Linked DNA regions of Cricetulus griseus. The protein of the gene in region 2 purifies or fractionates together with the protein of the main gene of each other region. This does not show direct contact. Links are inferred from orthologs where the notes say so. Each region holds a gene or a part of one and is shown on either strand. Other genes may lie near its edges.

Region 1 (3,810 bases), about 16 Mb from region 2:
GAGTGCTCCCAGGGTCCCTATCCTTCCCACCCATTTTATTCCACAGCCTCTCTTGGACCTGCTCACCCTGTGCCTGGCAAAGTCCAGAGCGGTACCCGTCTCTGACACCACTGGAACAGGAAGAGGTCTGACAGTCCGGTTAGCATGCCTGATTTTCTCCTCCTTTATTAAATGACTGTTTCAGATGTAATTACAGTTGAAGGTGACACGTTAGAAAGAACAGGTGCATTGAAGGCATAAGAGTGCTTACAAACCCAGCTCTTGAAATGGGGACAGGAAAGGGACAAGGATTAAAAAGATGTGATCGATGTGACCCACAGTGGGCAGGGTGAGTGACCATGGCTCTCTAGCTCAGCTACATAGCCTCTGGGCAAGCAGCTGTGGAGGAGGTTTGGCTCAGCAGGCAGGGGTTCCAGAAGTACAGGGCCCTGCAAGCCAGGGCCAGCTCCACCCCTATATCCCCACACTCACCACTGCCACCTATGTGTGATGTCAGCCCCCAAAAGATACCGGGCAAGTTCAAAACAACAACAACAAAAAAACCCTCAAAGTAAAAAGGCTAAGTGTAGCAGAGTAATACAGAAATATATACACAGGCCATGGCCCCCGAGGTGGCCTCTGGTCACTCAGGGGCATGGCACTGCAGGGTCCCTGTAGTACAAAGTGCAGGACCTCAGTACACGGAGCTGTTCCGGATGCCACAGCACAGCACCATGCTCAGAATCATCTCGAAGATCTGCGGGAGGGAGGGGCATTGTCAGCACCTAGGACCTTGGGAGGGGTGGTACCCACCCACCAAAGAGGCCCTGTGCTTACCATGATGACAGCTACCACGATGGCCGCAATACCAATGAGGTACAGCTTCCCAGAAAAGAGCTCATCGATTTTCTGATGGCAATCCTCCTGCAGGGATGGCCAGAGGGTGGTAACAGTCAGTGGCTAAGTCACAGCCACTACCCTACTCAGTGGTGGGGCTTGTCCTGCAGTTTATCTTCCATCCAAAAAATAAACTTAAAACACATGGACCTGCTCTCTTTCTTTATCACAGGATAGTGTTTCTGACCTCACTAGTACCCTAGGGCTTCCAGTATGTGTAAGGGACCACTGGACAGCAGTTTCCCAGGATATTGCAGAGGCTAACGCAGGCTGTCAGGACCCAGCACCCCACTACCTGAGATGTTCTGTGAGCCTTTCTGAGGTCCTGCTGATCTTCCTGGTGGGCCATGTTTACTCTACCTACCACCCAGGATATGATGTCCACCCCCACTCCATGTCACCTTCATCAAGGAGTTGAATATGTTGGTGCCTGAGGGACACAGGCTGTTCTTCAGCACAGAGGTGGTCAGTGCGGTCAGTGCGTTGGAGCCACAGCAGTTGAGCTGCAGAGACCAAAAGCATCACTGTCACCTTAGGAGCCTCAGGAGACAAGGGCAAGGTCAGCACACCATCACCCCCATATACCTGGGAGCTGGCCTTCTACCCTGTTTGTCACACTGCTCAAGAGCCCTGTTCCTCCAAACCCCTGGGCAAATGAGGCCCATTAGGTTCCTGCCTGGGGATCTACAAATCACACAGACCTTTAGCCAGGACCTGTCATGTTGCTGATGTCTGGAAATAGGCAGGACTCATCCCCCAAAGATCACACACACTAGGACTCCCACAACCTGCCCTCCCTGCTCCAGCCTAGCTGTACCGTCTCATGGAAGGTCTTCACCACAGCCTTGGCATTATTGGCATCGTCATCCACCACAGCCTGTTGAAGGGCTTGATCATAGAACTGCTTCACATCCTTGGCGATCTGGGGGAGAATCATAGTCACTTGCAGCATAGGGACTACCATCAAGAGCACTCAGCTTCCCCTGCTGTGCTCAACCTGACACCATCTCTTCTGTTCAGCTCCCAAGACCCTTCTACCAGCAGGCACCAGAAACCCAAAAGGCACCCTGTAACCCATGGGCTCAGAGCGGTTCACTCCTGTTGCCCAGGCAAGGGGCCTATCTCCCTCCCCAGTGAACCTAGGCTCACCTGGTCTTTGTTTACGAAGCCCCAGATGCCAGCAGCCACCTCACAGGCAAACAGGATCACAAGGCAGGTGAAGAACTAGAAGAAAGACGAGAACAGAGCCTTGACCAGCAAGCCCAAGCCCAGCCCTCTATAGGTGCCCACATGACCAACAACTATGTGCCAAGGGAGTTGACCACATCCATCAACCATGTCCTGATTAAGAATGAGCCACACAGAACCATGAAAGATGGGGTCTGATGCAGCTTGGCACCGAGATGTTCAAGTTCTTTGTAGGGAGACACTGTAGCGCGCCCCCCCCCCCCCCAGCCCCGACAGGTGTGCCGGGACACGCCCGTGAGGGCGTGGTCAGGGGAGGTCTAAGGTGATGTGGGAAGAATTCTTAAGGGACTGCGCACACGTGGATAGCCCCTGCTCTCTGGCCAGGCTGCCTTGCTGCCCCTGGCATGCTCTGGCTTGTGTGGGGGCTGGTGTTTATCTGAATAAAGAAATCTTAGCCTTACGGACTACAGATCATCCTTGAGCGCATGCAGCATGCAATAATCTATTGTTCTCAGGGCCCTACCCTGCTCCCTGCTTTGCAGGATGCTGCTTGCACAGGAGATGCAGTAGACAAATCCAAGTGATCACAGTCTCCAGGGAGGCACATGCAGCAATATGCCCCCAACCCTGACCTTAGTTTCCTCACCCCCTTTATCCTCCATCCATGGGAAGTTTAAAATATGAAGTGTGCTTCAGTTTTCCACACTGGTTGGCCAGGCTCTAGAAGACATATCTGAGACTCTGCTCCATCAGTAGCCACTGTGGCCAGGAACACTAAGGCTGGCTTTAGGGGTGAGGCACCCCACTGGTTTATGCATTTCTAAAGAGAAACTCCCTCTGTCAACATGAGTCTTCAGAGTCAGACTTAATGGAAATCAAGCAAACAGAAAAAGCAAAACCTTGGGGAAGACTACTCCCCTGCCCTGAAACCCTTCCTACTTACCGTCCCCAGCAGGCACTGGGACTCTTGGATGGCCCCATAGCACCCCAGGAAGCCCACAAACATCATCACAGCTCCCACAGCAATGAGAATGTAGATGCCTGGGGAGAGGAAGAATTCAGTGAGCAAGCTGCATGCCTCACTGCCCCAGACAGGAGTGTCTGGAGCACTCACACCCACAACAGGCAGAGTTTGGCAGCGTGAACTCTTTGTGCCTCAGTGTCCTGTTGGAGGAGCTGCCACTGCAACCAGAGGACAAAAACAGCAATTCCATGCCCAGAGAACACAGGTGATCTGCACTTCACAGATATGCTCTGCCCTATAGCCAGTCCCCCACTACCTGCACCTGAGAATAGGAACCCTCAGCACTCACTGTAGAGGGCTAAGATGGACTACCCATCTCAGTGCATGAAATGGGGAAGCAGCCTGGGTATCGGCTATTGGCTTAGGGTTGATGCCCAGGACTCCCAGTGCTGGGTGAGTGTGAAGGCAAGGACAGGCTATGCCAGTAGCCAACTCCAGACACCTCATCTCAGGCACACTGGTGTATAACCGCTCTGTTCACCTAAGGACAGGAACCTGTGGGTGGGGTGGCTGGATGGCAGACAGAAGGATAGGGGCAGCTTGGCAGAGCATCAACACCTGCCATATACACTGTCTAGGCTGTGAATAAACTGGGAAGCCATGAAGAAACAGGGGAGCACTGTAACCCACGAGGCACCAGCTGGGCCATATCCCTGTTTCAGTGCCCACAGTACTCCTCAGCCCCTGGGAAAGACCACTGCGTCTCTGAAGAGTCCTCCATC
Region 2 (4,531 bases):
CCCTTGGGTCAATAGAGATGGTTGTACAAATACTAGGGGCCCTGGGAAGTTTGAGAGGCATTAAAGAAGTAAGGGCAGGGCTGTAGGACATGTCAGATTGGTCAGTGTGGCCTTGTTCTGGGAAAGATTGGGTAGAATTTGGGAAAACTGGTAGGTATGACTCACCTCTTCGAAAGTAGAGAAAAGCCACCAGAGAAACCATACAGATTATGAGATATACTATAGTCACAACTGGTACCATCCATCCACCAGTCCTCAACAGCCAGAGCCACACTGTGAGGAGGAAGTCGCTATAAGACAAGGACCCCACAATGCATCTAACTTACTCTCCAACCCCTCAAAGGACATTTGTCTGGGAAACTAAAGCAAGACACAGCTTTAAAGTCTTGAGCTCTGCAGAGGGCTCTTCTCTGTTCCACTAAGGAGGACATGGATTATGCCACAGAGACTGGCACAGAGCACAAGACACTATACTAACAAACCACCCACAAAGCATGGATATTATCCAAGCAATCAGGGGAAAATTAATTCTGCAGTTAAGGATAATCATGGTCAAAATGCAGGGCAGAGGTGAGTCTACCAAGTTAGATTTGGGATCCAATACATCATAAGACCATGTCTGGATGGAGTGCAAGTTGAGGTAGCATTTAAGGGTTATTATGGTCATGATAGCATGGTAGGATTATACTAAGGAGACAGCAAAGACATTGTGGCTGATGTGATGGATGGAATAAGGAAAAGGAAGAAAGTCAAGCTCCTGAACTTGGGCATGTGGGCCCATGTAGATTCTTTTGGGTGCTCCATTTGTGCAAAGCCTATTGTATAGGTGGAAAAGATGTTGAGTTTGACTTTACTTAGCAAGCCTGAGATGTCCATGGGATATCAAATGGCAGTTCCAGGAAATGGTTGGGTATGGGGAATGTGGAGCCCAGGGTAGGTATAAAGGCATGGGAAACTAGAGTCATGGGAGTAAGGATGCCAAATGAGAAGAGGGTGTGGATAGGAATGAATACAAGGCCCAGGGTTCCAACAGGGAGGGATTGGAGAAGAAGAGCTCACAGGAGAAGACCCAGAAAAACTAGTTCTCAGAAGCAATGAGCAAGTATTCAGTGTGCAAATTGGAGTTTGGGATGAGGCTTGGAGCTGATCCTAGTGCTCGGCTGGCTTAGAACTTATATTCATGCCTTGGCCGACCAAGTTCTAGGGTTACTGTTGTGCACCACCAGAATAGCGTCTGCTGTCAGTCTGTCTGTCTCTCTGTCTCTGCACACACACACACACACACACACACACACACACACACACACACACACAGGGCCTCATACATGCTAAGTACACACTCTACTGAATCACAATTCTTCCTAACCCTTCCAATTCTTCCAGTAGCTCCGCACAGATTCCCAGAATTGAGAGAAACCCTACCTGACCTTTCATTGACCTTCACATGCATCTCGATGGTCAGGCCTCCATGGAGACAATAGTAGATACCTTCATCTAAAGCTGTGGCTTGAGGCAGTGACAGAACAGGCCCCCAAACCCACATCTCTCTGACCGGGTGCTCTTCCCAAAGGCTTAGGTTCAGTAATGAAACGTTAGGCCTCCTAGGATGCACACGGGTCCAGGAGATGGAGCCTCTGGTCACTGGGACAGGGGGTACCCCACAGGACAGCCAAAGTGTGGAGCCAGGGGCTACAGTGAGATCTAGAGCAGGGAGAGAAAAGATAACGAAAGTATAGCCTATGAAGTCTCATCTCCCCAAACCCTCCAGCTCCCAGCACCATTTCCTATCCTTGGGACCCCACTTCCCAGTGTCCCCTTACCTTGGTTGATTAGACTCTGATTCAGACTGATCCTCTGTGGGGCACATACAGGCTTTGTCCCCACGACCTCAGGATGGTCTTTAGCCCACACATACAGCCAGGAACTGTTGTGGGAACCAGAAGAGGGCCTATGGCTCCCTGAGGACCTGTTCTCCAGGCCACAGTCCAAGTCCCTTACATCTGAAGCATTCCAGCGAAACAGCTCCCCTGGGAAAAAAACCCAAACCATACATAGAACATGAGAAGGGGGAGATACAGAGACCCGGAAAGGCAGAACCGGAGACACAGAGAGAAAGTAACTATGCCTGACAGAAGACTGAGACAGAGATGTGGGATAGCTCAAAGCAATTACCAATCCATAGGAACCTGCTGCCTAGAAATAACCCCTTCCTTCTCAGTCATTGTAGCCCCACCTTCTTCTGTCCGTGGAGAGACCCTCTTTCCCACCAACCCCCACTACCCAGCCGTCCCAGCACTTACCACTATCCTCCACATTCACTGTCCACGCAGGCTGCCAGGTATCCTTGAAAGGGGGCCCATTCTGACACAGGTAGAAGCCCCCCATATGGTCCGAGGCATTGACAATGACTAGCAAGATTCCCAGGGACCCCACACGCAGGCCTAGGCCTGGGGACCCTAGGCTCAGCTCCAAGAAGGGTGTTGACTGATTCCCTCGATACCAGGCTAGTTTCTCAGTAGAGTTAGGTGAGGGGTCCGGGAGGCATGGCAGCACAAGATTGCTTCCCTCTGTGGGGAGAGGAAGACGGGAGCCCCAGCCCCTTTCCCTCCTCATAAACCAAAGGACCCCAGAAGTTCACCATATGGGAAGCCCTGAGGCTCAGAGAAGGCCAGTTACTCAACCCAGAACCCAGGCTTCCAACCCCAGGTCTTTCCTTCAGACATACAGACGGACATACCTTCTACCTCTAGCAGTAGCGGCTTCTGGCTCGTGCCTTCTACAAGGGTAAGGAAGAGGAGGAAGGAGAGAGAAAGAGGAGATGGCATGGTAGCCAGGCTCCCCGGGGCACTCAGTTTCTGTGTGGCCGCGCAGAGGATGCTGGGGCAAGCAGGAGGCCGGTGGTCAATGAAGCATGGGTGTCTGTGGGGGTGGTGGCAGTCCCCCCCATAGAGGAAAGGGGTGGTCACACCTTAGGCCCCCTTTTGTAGGCACTCTTCCAGATCCACAACAGTTGTCCCCTCCCTGCCACCTACTTAAATTAACCCAAGTAGATGACATGTATGTTTCAGCATGGAAGCCCCATGGGGCAAGGCTAACATCTTCACCGCCGCACACACAGTGTTTTCCACACAGTGCGGCTGGTAAATATTTGTCAGATGAGTGAATACAGATTCCGGGTCTCCCTTCTTCTCCTTCCTTCTCCCTTCTCCAGACTCCAGGCTCTGATCCTATTTCATACCTCTGTCTCCCAAGTGATGGGATTAAAGTCATGTGCCACCATGCCTGGTTTCCACATTTTTCTTTATCGTCTGGGGATAGTATTAGGACTTTATATTGGATATAGTGATCCAGTCCTATAATTCCAGCTACTTGAGAGGATCACAAAAGTCAAGGCCATCCTGGACTACAGAGTGAGTTCAAGGCAAGTCTAAACTACTTAGCAAGACCTGTCTGAAAAAAAAAATTAATAAATTTATTTATTTATTTATTTTACATCCCGGGTGTGGTTTCCCCTCCCTCCTCTCCTCCCAATTTCTCTCCTTTAGTCTCCCCTCTGATCCCAACCCCAATCCACTCTTCTTCTCTTTCTATTCGGGAAAGTGCAGGGAAAGTGGATATCAACAAAACATGGCATATTAAGTTGCAGTAAGACTAAACATCTCTCCATGTATTAAGGCTGGGCAAGGTGACCCAGTACAAGGATTAGGGTCCCAAGAGCCTGTAAAAGAGTTGGAGACAGCCTTGTTCTCACTGTTAGGCACTCTGCATATATGACCCAGTTGTGTACCCTTTCTGAAAATTTAAAAATATTTTTTAAAAAGTTGATGACATAATTCAGTGATAGAGTATATTCGAGACCTAGATTCAATCCCTGCTACCACACATAGACACGTACACATACCACATATTGGGTTTCATTCCAGCTTGGGCTACATAGCAAGACCCCATTTTAAAAAATGAAGAACCAAGCAGGCATAGTAGCACACACCTTTAATCCCAGCAACTGGGAGACAGCAACAGGCATATCTCTCTGAGTTCCAAGTCATCCAGAGCTACATAGTGAGACCCTGTGTCAATCCACCTCAAAAAAGGGGAGGATTGTGAACTGGGTGTGTAATGTAGCTAAATGGTAGAGCACCTGCCTATCATATATAATTCCCTGGGTTCCAGCACAGGAAAAAAAAAAGTGTGTGTGTGTGTGTATGTGTGTGTGTGTGTGTGTGTGTGGTGTATGTATGTTTGGTGTATGGGGTGTGCATGTTTGTGTATGTGTGGTGTAAGGGGTGGTGTGGTGTGTGTGTGTGTGTGTGTGTGTGTGTGTGTGTGTGTGAGTGTGTGTGTGTGTGTGTGTGTGTGTGTGTGTGTGTGTGTGTGTGTGTGTATGTATGTTTGGTGTATGGGGTGTGCATGTTTGTGTATGTGTGGTGTAAGGGGTGGTGTGGTGTGTGTGTGTGTGTGTGTGTGTGTGTGTGTGTGTGTGAGCACCTGTTTGTGTGCCTCTGTGTGTGTGTTGTGCATGTGTGTGTGTGTT

Evidence for each region.
Region 1: the proteins of Cd19 (region 2) and Cd81 purify together in Homo sapiens (affinity purification with western blotting, with the first as the bait; 3 studies listed by BioGRID). This does not show direct contact. The link is inferred for Cricetulus griseus from reciprocal best matches to the Homo sapiens genes CD19 and CD81.

The regions. Positions count from the first base shown.
Region 1 is NC_048596.1:58,319,933-58,323,742, forward strand, and holds the end of Cd81 (CD81 antigen), read right to left. Parts: intron 3,106-3,810; coding exon 3,008-3,105; intron 2,101-3,007; coding exon 2,026-2,100; intron 1,799-2,025; coding exon 1,694-1,798; intron 1,380-1,693; coding exon 1,278-1,379; intron 904-1,277; coding exon 817-903; intron 737-816; coding exon 674-736; 3' UTR 140-673; downstream 1-139. UniProt on the Homo sapiens protein: Structural component of specialized membrane microdomains known as tetraspanin-enriched microdomains (TERMs), which act as platforms for receptor clustering and signaling.
Region 2 is NC_048596.1:74,392,271-74,396,801, reverse strand, and holds the start of Cd19 (B-lymphocyte antigen CD19), read right to left. Parts: upstream 2,826-4,531; coding exon 2,738-2,825; intron 2,568-2,737; coding exon 2,301-2,567; intron 2,028-2,300; coding exon 1,821-2,027; intron 1,702-1,820; coding exon 1,423-1,701; intron 274-1,422; coding exon 166-273; intron 1-165. UniProt on the Homo sapiens protein: Functions as a coreceptor for the B-cell antigen receptor complex (BCR) on B-lymphocytes. Decreases the threshold for activation of downstream signaling pathways and for triggering B-cell responses to antigens.